2 linked regions of the Rhinolophus ferrumequinum genome follow. The protein of the gene in region 1 interacts with the protein of each later gene in a pairwise test. Links are inferred from orthologs where the notes say so. Each region holds a gene or a part of one and is shown on either strand. Other genes may lie near its edges.

Evidence for each region. The genes of interacting proteins can lie anywhere in the genome.
Region 2: the proteins of ATP10B (region 1) and TMEM30A interact in a protein complementation assay, tested with the Homo sapiens proteins (2 studies listed by IntAct, with this or other methods). The link is inferred for Rhinolophus ferrumequinum from reciprocal best matches to the Homo sapiens genes ATP10B and TMEM30A.

What each region holds. Positions count from the first base shown.
Region 1 is NC_046307.1:30,055,287-30,063,158, forward strand, and holds the start of ATP10B (phospholipid-transporting ATPase VB), read right to left. Parts: upstream 3,020-7,872; 5' UTR 2,804-3,019; intron 1-2,803. UniProt on the Homo sapiens protein: Catalytic component of a P4-ATPase flippase complex, which catalyzes the hydrolysis of ATP coupled to the transport of glucosylceramide (GlcCer) from the outer to the inner leaflet of lysosome membranes.
Region 2 is NC_046286.1:36,111,448-36,118,496, reverse strand, and holds the start of TMEM30A (cell cycle control protein 50A), read left to right. Parts: upstream 1-4,044; 5' UTR 4,045-4,206; coding exon 4,207-4,443; intron 4,444-7,049. UniProt on the Homo sapiens protein: Accessory component of a P4-ATPase flippase complex which catalyzes the hydrolysis of ATP coupled to the transport of aminophospholipids from the outer to the inner leaflet of various membranes and ensures the maintenance of asymmetric distribution of phospholipids.

The DNA.
Region 1 (7,872 bases):
GGGAAAACTCTCACTGTGTGATTCAGCTATTTGATGCCACATCAGTGTCACCTACGTGGTCTTATCCTATGCTCAGATCATTTTGAGCACTGTCCTGCCACTTACCCTGAGGAGTAACATTGCAGTACATAAAACATCTAGGCGGACTCTCCAGCTCATGGTTCTCTAACTCCGGTAAGCATCAGAACCATCTGGAGGTTTGTGAAAAACATATTTTTAGGTCTTCCTGCGTTCCTGCCTCAGCGTGTTGGGAGTGGGGCCCTAGAATTTGCAGTTCTGACAAGTTCCTGAGTAATGCTGATGTGGCTGGCCCAGGAACCACATTTCGAGAGCTGCCGCTCTGGGTGGTGCTGGGGGAGGAGAAGGTAGAGAACATATGGTGTCATGTGTATGAAAACTTCACCATCAGGCTTGCTAGTGATTGCAGGGACCATGGATTTTTATTTAATCAGGCAAATGAGGTAAAGAAACACTCAACGTATTCTTTTGTGTTCCTGCGTTGTTTCTGGTTGAACCTGGTGAGTTCAAATTAATACGACACCACACCAAGGTTGATGCAACAACCTCGGCTAGAGAGATATAAGTACCTCCTCCCAAAATATCACAGTTTGTTTGCAGGTTGCTAACTACCTGCAAGGTGTCCTGCCTTGGCAGCAGTCGCCAGTGATCAGTCATACCAAAAGCAGAAAATGAGACTCTCTTTTTTCCCTCTAGACATTAAGACATTATAGAATATTTTAAAAAATGCCATGACAGTTAACATTCTCTCCCATCTGGTTCCACCCAATTAATAGTAATAGCAAATAATTATTAAGGCTTCTGTAAGGCAGTCATTGCATTGTACTAGGTGATGACACACATGTTTTCAATGTGAGGATCTGAGAAGCTAAGCAACTTGTCTAATGTTACACAATTACTAAGAAGTAAAACAGGGATTCAAATTCAAGTTCAATCCCAATGTCTTTTTTTTTCGATGAAGCCACACTGCTGCTATTGTTACTACCTCCTTACTCAATCTCTTAATAAACACATATTTCACAGAGAATTAAAAGATGAGGAAAAAGGGCTCCAGATGCTTTAATTGTTAAAAAAAATTACAAAACAACGTCACTGAAACAGAAGAAATTAGTGATATTTAATCAGCAATGAAGACAGAGCTCCCTGGGTTTAAACCAGGATTTAAGAAGGTCTGGCCAAATTTTTATTTTTAGGAGAGTGGGAAAGTGAACAGAACTAGTCTCAGAAATCCAACCTGTTTTAGTTTACTCTTGAGTCAAGGGGATTTTGATTCCCTGTTGATATGGCACGGGCCATTTGGAGAATGAGTGTAATAGAAGAACCAACCCTGGAATGATAGCCATGAGCCTTGGATTCTGGTCGTTGTTTTCTCAGGAACTCATACTTCATTTCTCTGGGTCCCAGTTTCACCCTCTGTGCATCAGGCAGCTACACTAAGCTCCCTTCCAAGCACTGCCTTTGAGGACAGCGGATTCCTTCAAATGGATTTATTAGCACCATATGCCTCAAAACAGTAACTCCCATCTTTTAGCATAAGGAGAATATCGTTTGATTGCAAACTCAGCATGTGGGTTTCAACCTTGAGTCTTTCAAGAGCCTTTTCCTCTATCCATATGTGAGGTTACCCTGCTACATTCTTTGGGGAATACGTGGGGACAACTGGAAAACAGATTCTGAACCCTCCGAGGCACACAAACGACTTAAATCCATATAGATAGAATTTAAGAAATAAATGATCTGATATATTTTTAAAAAGTCATCAATGACAATGAAATGAGTAATTCAGTAGGTGTTATTAGGAGTAATTATAGTAATATCTCAAAGGAAAACAACATCTGTGATTTGCCTGATTAATGGTCTCATGGAACAGTGCATCTGTTAATGGAATAACACTCCTAGCACTCTTGACTGTACGCTTGCAAGAACTGGAAACAGAGAAAGGACGGTAGAATAAGAAAGGAGCAGGGTGCCAGACCGACTATGGGAGGTCAAGTCCCTCCCCAGAATTTCTAATTCCCCTCTCGTTACCTGAACCAAAATTATACAGCAAATTCCAAGGGCAAATGAGTTCTACCAGGTACATGAACTCTTGCAGGGTAAACAACTAGCTGCTCAGGGATTAAAAAAAAAAAATAATAACTTTTCACCTTGTGGTTGGAGGTGTTTTGCCCCAGCTTTAACAACGTGCCACAGTAGGATGGTAATAAAGGTGCTCAGTAGGGACCTATCTGCATGAATAGGGCTTTTTCTGGAGCGAGTAGTTGATACACGGGGAGTAAACATATTTTTGTTTAAACATCAGTTTTCTCTGTCGAACTCAAAGGAAAACCAAGCATCCCACCAACAGTTGACAACTACTACAATGTGCCAGCTTCAGTTTAGAGGTGAAATTGGGAAGCCGTATCGTGATCTCACGCTCTTCCTCAAAGCTCGAGTTTCTTTCTGCTTTGAGAACAAGTTACTAACTCCACCTGCTCCCTCAGGCTACATTGGATGGATGTGGGATATATTATTTGTCATAAAACGTATTCAGGTACATTTGGGCTGTAAGCTCTATTGCATAGGGAAGTAGCATTTGTCATCAGCTTATCCTAATGAAATCAAATGAAAGAAGACAACAACATTCTGCTGCAAAGGGAATGTGGATCTCACGCCCAGCAAGCCAAATGAAATTTCAAATGTGGTATAAAGAAAAGTAGTTATATCCTGGGCCTGATTAAAACAGTGACCATTGGAGATGATCCCGTCCCCATTATATGGCGGGGGCTAGGTGACTTTTACTTACCCCAGCAAAGCTGACGTCCCTCCTGAGCTGGCTCCATTAGAAGCTACGGGAAACAGGGCTTGGAAGTGGCACTATTTCTCTTGTACAGTGTGGCTAAGATATCATTTCTCTTTCCCATGGCATTTTTCATTTCTCTGATTATATCTGATGGTGTCAAGGCAAGGCCTTAAGCTAACACTCCCTTGGAAACTCAGAGAAGAAGATGGCTTGGAAAGAAATAACTGCGACCAGGAAAGGAAAAGGGAAAAATAAGCCGCCTCATTTGGGCTACGAGAGAAAGAGAAGAATAGCATGACTGTGAGTGTGAGCCCCAGTCCCAGACAGTGAAGGCAGTGTTCTCGGCTTGGCTGTGTGTGTACACAGCATGATAACTGTTAGACAGGGTTCTTGCAGAAATTTCTACTTTCTGTGACTCAATGAGCTGGCGATATCAAAATTCATAAGTGATTTTCTTCTCTACACATGGTACAAAAATGACTTTGTCCATTCGCCTTTGGCCATCCATGCAATTAAGTGTGAGACAATTATAACCTTGTAGGTCTCCTTGGGGGCCTGGAATACAATTCAGTTGTTGGATTGCAAGGGCACTTAAGAAAGAAAGAACAGACTGTCGGCAGTGACTTTCGTAGGCATGCTGGTGAGGAATTAGCCCGCCACGATTTAGAAGTCTCATTTTGCAGTAGTCATAGCCCTTACTGATTACTCTTCGATTATACAAAATAAGGAAAATGGGACCAATGTATTATATGTACAGATTATGGGCATGCTTCAAACTGACAGAAAATCGGAATGATTTATGGGCTTATTTTGAGAGCTTTAATTCTCACCCTAAAAGGAAATTTTCATGTATAATCTTTTACTGAGTTGCCTACAACTCCGTTAATTGAGGAAAATGTCATGAGCCAGTTGTCCTATTGATGGATAATTATTGGTGGGTCCGTAAATAAAAGAGAAGATAGAACAAGGAACAAGCTATTTTGAGGGTAACAAAAGGGGGATATTACCAAACTTGGGAATAAAATGAGGTAAAAAGAAATGAATATAATACCTAAATGCATGAAAATCTTTCCATAGGATCTTGGTTGGTTGCTTGGGTAATTGTGACCTTACGAGTACTGTTGAATCCTGTTAGATTGCTAAGAAGAAACATAGACATAGAACATATTTTAGAAAAGATGAAACACCCACACCTTAAATCTGTAACTGTAAGACAGGAGCTAGGAATTTTTAAGAACATGAAGTTTGCCTAACACTTAGGCCTGTCTGGGATTTTTTTAAAAAGGGACTCGGCATTTCACGTTTCTCCATTTGCTAAAGAGAAGAGTGCTGTGCAAGTGCTTGTTCCATTTCCTCCCTTTTCTCAGAGTCTCATGCTTTCTTGGCACACGCATGACCTAGACTCACAGATTTGGTCAACCAGAGAATGGTAGTGCCCGAAGGTAGAGGTCGTTTAGCACAGCTTCCTGGTGCCATGGCTGAGGACACTGAAGCTCAAAAAAGTTAATGGCTACATTAAGTCCACACAGGAAGTTGGTAGCAGAGATGGGACCACAAACCACATTTCTTCACTGCTAAGGCCAGTGCTCTTTCCCTCACCGCTTCCGCAACAAAGAGAGAGGCACACCCAATTTAGGGACAAGAGGGTCTAGAATATCTCTTGGGCTGCCATGCTGACCAATGGATATGGAGTTATCAAAGCATAGGTCCATTTTCCAAGCTGCTTAGACACGTTAAATACTAACAGGCACGTGGCAAGTTATGTGTATCATGAAGTTGGATTTAATGCCACTCTCTGGCTAATTCAAACCCTAACAGCAAATAATAGATAAGAAATACTATGTTCAGTTTTTGTTAGAGAGGTCATATTTCTTTTGTCTGACTGCTGGAATTCCCTAATAAATCATGTTAGAAGACCGTACGTCACAGAAATTTACGTAATTCCCTTTTCCAGCAGTCAACTTTCTTATACTTAAGTGAACTGAGCATTTTATATGCATTTCTATTTCTCATTGACTGCATCACGTTTTTCATATATGACTTTCAGACAGTTTGTCAGGTTTGGCCTTTAATATTCTTGCTGCCCAAACCTGCCAATTAAAGAAGAACTTGTTGGCAAAGCTTTTGCCCCCATCTCCTACCACCAGCACCATACTACCAGGATGAACTATATAAGCTTAAGACCAATTATTTATGATAAGCTGTGTAAATATTCCTAGTGGTAATTGTTATAACTATTATTGAACACTTACTTCATGCCAAGCACTGTTAAGCACTCCACATAATCTGACTCGTTTAATTCTCCTATAACCTTAACAGATTGACATAATTATTCCCATAAAAAGAAAAAATACAGGGTCATAAAATTCTTCAAACAAACTGAAATATAACAGAAGAGGTTGTGGGGGAAAATATTCTTATGGTGATTTTGATAAGTCAATGCTTATTTGTCTTAATTTTAGTCATGAGAAAGGTAAGTGTCTAGATGAATCTTCACTAAACAGGCAAAATATTGTCTTAAGTACTTGCAGTGGAAAGTAACTTGAAGCCCTTTAGCTGGTTAACCAGATGCAAATACTGGCATAAGATTGATGAGCAAGAGTTGGAAGAAGTGTTGAACAAATAAAAACACGAGGGGTTGGTAACATGAGAGATTAGCCATAAAACTAGCTCTTTCAGGACTGAGGCAAGGGATGGACAGTTGCCCAGGGCACCAAACATCTCTGGAAAGATGATGGAATACATTTCATTTATCACACTTTTCTTAGGAAGAAAACAGTGTAAGCAGCTCCAGAAGAGGTGAGAGACCCCCCAAGGGGTATGCATGAGTACTCCTAGATCAGTGGTTCTCGACAAGGGATGAGCTCCCCCCCACCCCATCCCCAACACACACACACACACACACACACACACACACACACACACACACACACTGGTGCTTTCGGCAATATCTGGAGATATCTTTGATTGTCAGACTGGGTTGGGGGTGCTACTGGCTTCTAGTGGGTAGAGTCCCAGGATGCTGCTAAACATCCTGCATGGCACAGGACATCCTCTCACCACTAAGAATTATCTGACCCAAATGTCAATAGTGCTAAGGTTGAGAAACCTTGCCTTAGATGTTTCCTGAACTTCCAAGGTGATGAGTTAGGATAATTGTAGGACTAATTCATGGAGTAAACAAGGTGAGTTTGGTGAGTTTTGTCTACCCTTCCCCAACCTCAGCTTGGCTCTTTCTTCACATAAAGGTTGAGCAAACTTTTGAAGATGGGCAATTTGAGGGAGTGTGAAGTCTTAGTCTGGGCCTCCACTAATTAATTTGATTTCTGAAGTAATTTTTGAAAACAAAATAATGATGAGGAACCTTTCTACTACATGGTATTGAAAGGGCAGGGACAGGCTCAGTTGAAAAATAGCAACCAGAGAATACCTCAGTGGATGATAACCTTTGTCATCAAGTAATCTATGCGATGTGTAGTGTCCCTAAACCAGATGTTGCACAGAGGTGATAATCTGCCGAAATGTTTTGTTTGGCCTGCCCAGACTTAAATTTTACATTAGTTGGCAGCATTAAACATTGGGATACTTCTCATAATAATCTTTTTTTGTGGAACAAGCCAAAGAACTGACAACCACAGGTACACATTCCTACAAGTCAAGAGTTGGCTTCTGCTGAATAATGGCCACTCACTTTGGATAGGGCACCAGTCTCTCCACTCCCCATCCGGACTGTTTCAGCAGGTTACATTACCTGCCTGATAGCTGCAGCAATCTCAGTTTGCAACTTGGGTCTTAGATTATACTTATACTCCTTTGACTATACTCTTTAGGGTGACACTGTGTAATGATAATGTGTTTTGTAATATGATATGTAGTCTTGCCTAGATTAATTTTCATCAAATCAATGCTGTACCATCTTTTGGCCATTTTTGTTTCCATCGTAGTTTTGACTTTTCCATCACTTTCTTTCCTCCAATTTTTCTGGTTAACCAAAAGGTGACTAAATAGGGAAGAATAATTCAACGACTATGAACTGGGATATAAAGTCACCACAATTCCCTTCCTACCCACCTTTTTTTTAGTTTACTAACTTCTGATATATAAAACATGAATAAAAATATCCCTGGCAGAAATATTTTGACCATGATGTAAGGAAACTTGGCAGGGATAATTTACTGAGATCTGCAGAAAATAAGTTTCAGAATAAAATACTGAATACTGATGTTGAAAGTACGTATAGACAAAATTCAAATAGGTATTTTATAGCGCCGGTCAAGTCATTAGGAGGTTACAAAAGGAGCTTACAATTCTTTGCATAACAATTTTTTTTAAATCAGCGAGCGCATGAGGAGGAACAGATTAGGTAGCTTTGATATTCATAAAGTAAGGCCAAGTTTATACTTTATGCTGTGCAACGGAAGACGTTTACAATGATTTAGGCCTAATAAAGATAGCTATTGAGGTGTTTCTTATATTGATAAAGGTCAGGTTAAATAATCATTACACTTGTGTAGAATAGTGATTCTTGATCCTTTTGGAATCAGGGTTCCTTTACACTTTTGACAATTATTTAGGATCCTAATGAATTTATGTTTATGTGTGTTCTATCCACCTATACGTACTGTATTAGAGACTTAGAACTAGAATATTTTAAAGTAATTATTCATTTCTTTAAAAAGAATATATTCATTACATGTTCATATGTCACATATTTTTATGAAAAATAACTATATTTTTCAAAAGAAAAAATCAGTGAGAATTTTTCTAAAGCTCTTCAGTATTTGGATTAGTAGAAGACAGCTGGTTTCTCATATTTACTCTCTCTGTTGTACCATTGTTCTGTTTGAAATTTATGAAGAAAAATCCAGTTTTCATGCATAGTTGGAAAAAGGAGGATTTGTAGATCCTGTGAAAGAGTTTGGGGACTGTGATGGGTAGTTTTTATGTGCCAACTTGGCTAGGCTCCAGTCCCCAGTTGTTCAATCGTGCACAAATCTAGGTGTTGCTGAGAAGGTATTTTGTAGGTGTGATTAGAGTCCAAAATCAATGGGTTTCAAATAGGAGCGATTATG
Region 2 (7,049 bases), on another chromosome or scaffold:
ATATCATGTTTGACTTGCATTTCTGATTACTGACTGTGGTCATTCATAAAGTTGCAAAATATTTCATCACAACACCAATGATCTCAGGCTTATCACTCTCTCAATGTCAGAACAAAAGGATTTTCTTAAGTGCCTAAGTAAAAGTTTAATAAATACGTATACATGAAAATCAGGAAAAGGTCAACTTTAAAAGAATTTTTCAAAATCAGTTTGAATTAATCTCTGATGTAATAAGTACAAGAAAATAAATTTATTATACAAATTCTATGTCACTCTTTTCTTAAATATCGCCTCAATTAAAAATGAATATTATTTAATCCCCTCAAACTTCTCTAAGTAAGCTGCCACGATCAACTAAATAGAATTTTTTTTTTCCCGTCTAGAAAGAAACAAGCAAAATATTACCCAGTCACTGAAAACAATTCAAACCATTTCCAGTCCCTAAGAATTTTCTCTGAAATTCATGCTGGTAAAAACTATGGCACATTTCTCAGCTCTCTTCAATTTTCTAAACATTATTAAACTACACATATAAATGAAATGGTTTGAATATGGTTAGAAGCTAGAGAGCTAAAGCAGCACCAAATACTCAAAGGAGTCTAATAAGCAAATCTATGTGCCATGTTGGCCAAACAGTAAAAAGAGCAGTTTCAGTTTCCTCTTCTTAATTCCTTAAGTTACTCAGTTATTCATTTTTCCCCCCAATGTTTCTGGTTACCTCGTTCAATAGCTTGAAAACAGCAACTGAACTAAAAAAATTAAAATTTGTTATGAAACTTCTCCTCTAAAGTTATTTATCTACATCTTTTCAGATTGTTGGGTTTGTATCTGCCTATTATTTTGGATTTACTTTCATATTTAGTAGGGTTTCCAGGTGGGAATTCCCGCCTGTTCTCAGGATTTTTTTTTTTGCTTTCCCATTCCAGAATCCCGAGATATAAACTGTTTTCTGTTCTCCACGATGAATCATTTCCAGAAAGTGACGGCTGATATTACCAACCACCTGGGTTCAAGGAGCCGATTTTCCCAATTTCCCAACCAACTTTTCTCGGGATTCGCGAACAGGAAAGTGAAAAAAATTCCTGAGAACGGGTGAGAATTCCCGCTTGGAAACCCTATTAGGCTCAGGCATTCATTGCACACTTACTATATTGACCTGGTAGTCAGCATTAATCAATGTAATTAAGCACATTTTTTTAAAAACAGGAATCAGTGAATGAAGAATCATTTAAACAATACAAATGTTATCTAAATGTGTCATCAGCACACGCGTGAGCACATGTCACTCCTAGCAACCACAGTTTAAAAATGCATATGGTGGAAATCCATTGTGAGAACAACCACTCTCTTTTGTTGCCCCAGAAATACTGAACATTTCCCTTTTAAAATTCCTACTTCATAAGATTAAATGAAAAAATACCTAAGAACTATCATAAAACAATGTATGACCAATGAAATCATAAAATTCTGAGTCCTCAAGCTAATGATGTGGATGTGAAAAAAATGTTACTGGGTAAAGCAGCATGTTGTGATGGCAGAGTACAGTAGAGGGAAAGGAATTGGAAGGACATCAAGAGATTTTGAAACGTCATTTCATCCATTTGGCTCTCATCTGAAAATTAAGTTTTAGATAAGAATCTAAGAAAGCTTTAGATTCAAGCTTGTTCGGAAAGTCTATGTTTCAGTCAAAATGGAATTCCTACTAAGAAAAAAGAAACAAGAAGTTAATCTTTCCTATGAACAAAAAGAAAAAGAAAGCAGATAAATATATCACAATCACTTAGATCAGTTAAAAAAAAAAAAAAACAACTGGAAGGCAAAATAACTCCATACTTACATAGAATGTTGGAATAGCAAATCACTTAAGGAACTATCACATTTAGTGGGTTTGATGATACAGGCAGAAATGGGGAGATAAAACTTGCCTCAATCTTTATACTTTTGCATTATGCCCAATACTGTTATATACATTTTTACTAACCAATAGAATTTAGCAAAATAAAAGAAGCCCATACCTTCTCCATTAACTGTGATAGATGAATATTTTCCATTTGAAAATATTCTTACATAGATATAACTTTCCATTTGAAATATAATTCCTAACATAGAATATTTTCCATTTAAAAATAAACTTACATGGCTCAAAACAAAATATAGACCTACTTATATTACCAGTACTAAGAATTTGAGAGATAAGGATGTCATGTAAGAACAAAACCAAGCAAGTTAGTTATCTACCAGATTAATATTCGATTGGCTCACATCTTGAGACTTGTAGTCATTTTGAAAATACATTTAATTGTAAATTACAAGGCCCAAGCACTCTTTTCGTTTCCCTTTTCTTGGATTACTTCCAAAAGGTATGACTTCCGACAAAGCCTAAAAGAAAATAAACTCGGGGCCAGCCCGGTGGCTCAGGCGGTTAGAGCTTCATGCTCCTAACTCTGAAGGCTGCCGGTTCAATTCCCACATGGGCCAGCGGGCTCTCAACCACAAGGTTGCCAGTTCAATTCCTTGAGTCCCGCAAGGGATCTTGGGCTCTGCCCTCTGCAACTAAGATTGAACACCGCACTTTGAGGTGAGCTCCCCTGAGCTCCCCGGTGGCTCAGTTGGTTGGAGCGCATCCTCTCAACCATAAGGTTGCCAGTTCGACTCCGGCAAGGGATGGTGGGTTGTGCCCCCTGCAACTAGTAAGGGCAACTGGAGCTGAGCTGTGCCCTCCACAACTAAGACTGAAAGGACAACAACTTGAAGCTGAATGACACCCTCCACAACTAAGATTGAAAGGACAACAACTTGACTTGGAAAAAAGTCCTGGAAGTACACACTGTTCCCCAATAAAGTCCTGTTCCCCTTCCCCAATAAAATCTTATGAAAAAGAAAATAAACTTTGGGTATTTGTTTTCAGATGATGTGACTTACTCTCTGGTCTGGATTTCAAAGATGCCAATATAATGTGGATTGTACATAATCAAAACAATTTTTTTTACAAATATATGCTTATTGTAGAAACTTTGGAAAATGCAGAAAAAGTGCAAAGAAGTAGAGAAAAAACATTCTCCATCTGGTCAATGGAGATTACCACTATTTACTTCTTAGGTAGGCTTGATACTATATACCAATACTACCTTGGTATCAAGATTTACTTACTTTTTATATCATGAATATTTCCTTCGGTCATTAAATACTTGGCAGTTTTAAAGTGTCTGCATAGTATCTCATTTTATAGTAATGCCATAATGTGAAGCTTTTTTCTTGTAATCTGTAAAATAAAGAGCTACAGCTAATTACAAGACTTCTTATATCTGCACAAAAAAGAAACGACACAGAAAAGAAGGTAAAATGTAACATGAAGACCATTAATGGAACATAGACAAGTGATAATAGCTCAAGTAGCGTCAAAATAATAGGGTTAACCAAGTCACGTATTTATGTTTACTTTGGGCAAGTCACGTATTTATTTTTACTTTGGGACCAAAGGGTCACCCATCACGCATCTCACTTAATGTTTGTATTTGTACCTTGAATGACGATTTACTTTAATTAGAGAAACTCGCGGTTTTATAACCCAAGGAAATACTACAATCATACCAGGTTCAAGCAACTTTGGTGTGGTCTTTTAAATACTACGATTCCCTTCAGAGAGGGCTACGCGGTAAAACAAAAACCTGTCTGGCGCCGAAGCCACTAGAAAGACATCTTTGTCAGCAGCTCCAGGGCTAACTAGGGTAGTCCGGGCCGGGCGGATCAGACCTGAGCCTCAGATCGGCCGTCACCAGGATAACCGGAGCCGCAGACAGGTGTGAGCTAACAGAACTTTAGGCAAGTGGAGCGCAGACGCGCCTGCCGCGCAGGCGCCCCGCCCTTTTCGCCCTCAAAGCCTGCGCATGCGCTGTCGTAGCTTCACGCTCCGGGGTTTGACCCTTTGTCGTCACAGGGCAGATGACCCTCGTGCGTCCGCCTTTTCCCTCCCTCTTATGTCCCTCCCCGTGTCCCTCAGTTTCCTCCCTCCTCCCCCTCCCTGGGGCGTCCCCAGCCGACTCCAACTTCCGGTCAGCGCCCGTCTGCGGAAGGGTGTCCCGCCTCTTCCGCCTTTACTTTAGAGGTGGCGGCGGCAGCGACGCCTGCGCGTCTTCTTTCAGGGTCAGCAGACGGGTCCCCTGGGCGGTCCACTTGCGCGCGTCGCGGAGCCGCGCCCGGGGGGCAATGGCGATGAACTATAACGCGAAGGATGAAGTAGATGGTGGGCCCGCGTGTGCTCCTGGGGGCACCGCTAAGAACCGGAGGCCGGATAATACGGCCTTCAAACAGCAAAGGTTGCCGGCTTGGCAGCCCATCCTGACGGCTGGCACGGTGCTACCTACCTTCTTCATCATCGGCCTCATATTCATCCCCATTGGCATTGGCATCTTCGTCACCTCAAACAACATCCGCGAGATCGAGGTGAGGGGAGGGAGCGGCGGTGGCAATTGGCGCCGCTTGGGCGCTGGGTCCTGGCCTGCCCACTTCTTCCTCAGCTCTCTGGAGGTTGACCTCCGGGCTTCACCTCCCTCACGCTTTCTCTCTTCCTCAGTGTCTTCTTTCTGCGGGCTTTCTGAATTTGCAGTTTTGTCCGAGCTTCCTCTCGCGATTTACATGGTTAGAGACGAAATGAATGTTTAATACAGAGGGTGGGTCAGATAAAGAACGCCCCTTAATAGGCGGTTTGTGTGGCTCTGGAGATTTTTACCTCCAACGGAGGTTAAGAGAGAGAGAGAAGAGAGAAAAGGAGGTGGAAAAAAAAGAAGTTATATCTAGATATTACTGCGGGAGAAGGGACGTGGTCAGTGTCATTATCTGTGTTGGGACTTCCTAGAACGCAGATTAACACCTTGGCCATTGTTGGGGAAAGGACCGAGAGTCGTAGAAGTATTGGTGATTTTTATCTAAAGAAGTTGTCGTATCTTACCAGGTCACATGTTAGGACAAATGACCGAAGTTTGCACAGTTACCTTTTATTTTGAGTTAATTGATGTTTTTAGTTGTAGGGTATGATATAGGTAAAAAGGTAACTTGAATCTTCTATTCCGGTTTTGCTTTTAGGCTGTGTTTATTAATAACCATGCCCTGCATTCACCCTCGATTTCTTTTTCCCCCTAGATTTTAAACTTTTTTTAAAAAAAGTCAGTGACCACACGGAGAGAATAAGTTGTACATTGTTTACAGAACAGTTTACTGATAGAAGACACGATAAAGATCTGCTCTTTTTCTGAATATCTGAGGGTATTTTTATCTGTTTGAAAGGGCAGTAACTGGTACCAAGGTCTCTTGATTTCTTCTGTTTTCTCAGAGTACATCATTTTTCCCTCTAGTCCTATTAAGTCCTTTTAAGCGTCTGCATGTGATTTAATGGGGCTTTCAGAGTAAGTTTATTTTGACTACAGGTATAGGTGTAAAGATACCTGTTTCCAGTTTAACTTACAGTGTTACTTTTCAAAGTAAAATATATATTTTTTAATTTTTTACAGTGCTCACTTCTGTGTTAATAACACTAATATCATTGCTTTTAAATCTTTTACTAAAAATTAGTTTTCAGTGTAATAACTAGAGAAAGTGTCACAGTATGTTTTTTCAGCATGTATTTTTATTTGCTTTATCTTTTGTGTCTCCCTAATAGTTCTTCAAATGTAGTACTTGTTCTCCCAGCCACACTAGGATCTCACATATGAGTAAAGTGATGTATTGCAAGTACCGTGGGCTCTAGGTTGGGGTCACGCAGAGCTAGGTTTAAATTCCAGCTTTGCCACTAACTAGCTCAGTTTCTTGGAAAACTTAATCTCTCTGAGCCTCAGTTTTCTTACCTGTAAAATACGTAAATAATGCCTATCTTTTATTTTTTTTTTAAGATTTTTTTTTTTTTTTTTAATTGGGGAAGGGGAACAGGACTTTATTGGGGAACAGTGTGTACTTCCAGGACTTTTTTCCAAGTCAAGGTTGTTGTCCTTTCAATCTTAGTTGTGGAGGGTGCCGGTCAGCTTTTCTTTCAGTCTCAGTTGTGGAGGGCGCAGCTCAGCTCCAGGTCCAGTTGCCGTTGCTAGTTGCAGGGGGCACAGCCCACCATCCCTTGCGGGAGTCGAACCAGCAACCTTGTGGTTGAGAGGACACGCTCCAACCAACTGAGCCATTAGGGAGCTCAGCGGCAGCTCAGCTCAAGGTGCCATGTTCAATCTTAGTTGCAGGGGGCAGAGCCCACCATCCCTTGTGGGACTCGAGGAATTGAACCGGCAACCTTGTGGTTGAGAGCCTACTGGCCTGTGTGGGAATCGAACCGGCAGCCTTCGGAGTTAGGAGCACGGAGCTCTAACCAGCTCCGCCTGAGCCACTGGCCGGCCCATGCCTATCTTTTAAAATGTGAGAATTAGAAACAATATAGCTAAGATTCCTGGTATTAAGTTTGTACGATAAATAGGTATGATGATTCCTAATCAGGAGATGAGAAATGGCGCCAGAGAGATTGATACTTACTAGTAAGCTAGAAGAATATTGTAAAATTGAGGCAGAAACCCAAACCAGATGTCTTTATTCTCAACCTTAAGCTTTCACACTACATTAGATTCTTACTGCAGTGTTAGTAGTTAAGTAGAAGAAAATAATTTAACATCAAAAATTTGATCATCTTATTTCAACTTCTCAAGATACTGAGGTGAAAGTAGCAATAATTTGGAATTTTATATGATGGGTAGTATCAAAACTCACCTGTTAATATTTACTATACTATGAAAATAAATATTTACTTTCTTTAAAACTTTTGGGTTTTGAAATAAAATAATGTTCTTCACACTAAGAAGTTGGTAAAGTGGAAATTTCTTTAGTTCTCATGTATATGCTTCTGATTTCAAGTGGCCTAAAGAGCCTGCTGCAGCTTGTTCTGGTTAAAAGGACACTGAAGTTAAAAGTCAAGGCATTAGAGTAGAAGTCCCACCTCTGTTGTGATCTTAGGCATATTTTTGAATGCTTTTTTTTTTTACTAGAAGAACCAAAAGGTCATCTGTAGATGATCTCTAAGATGC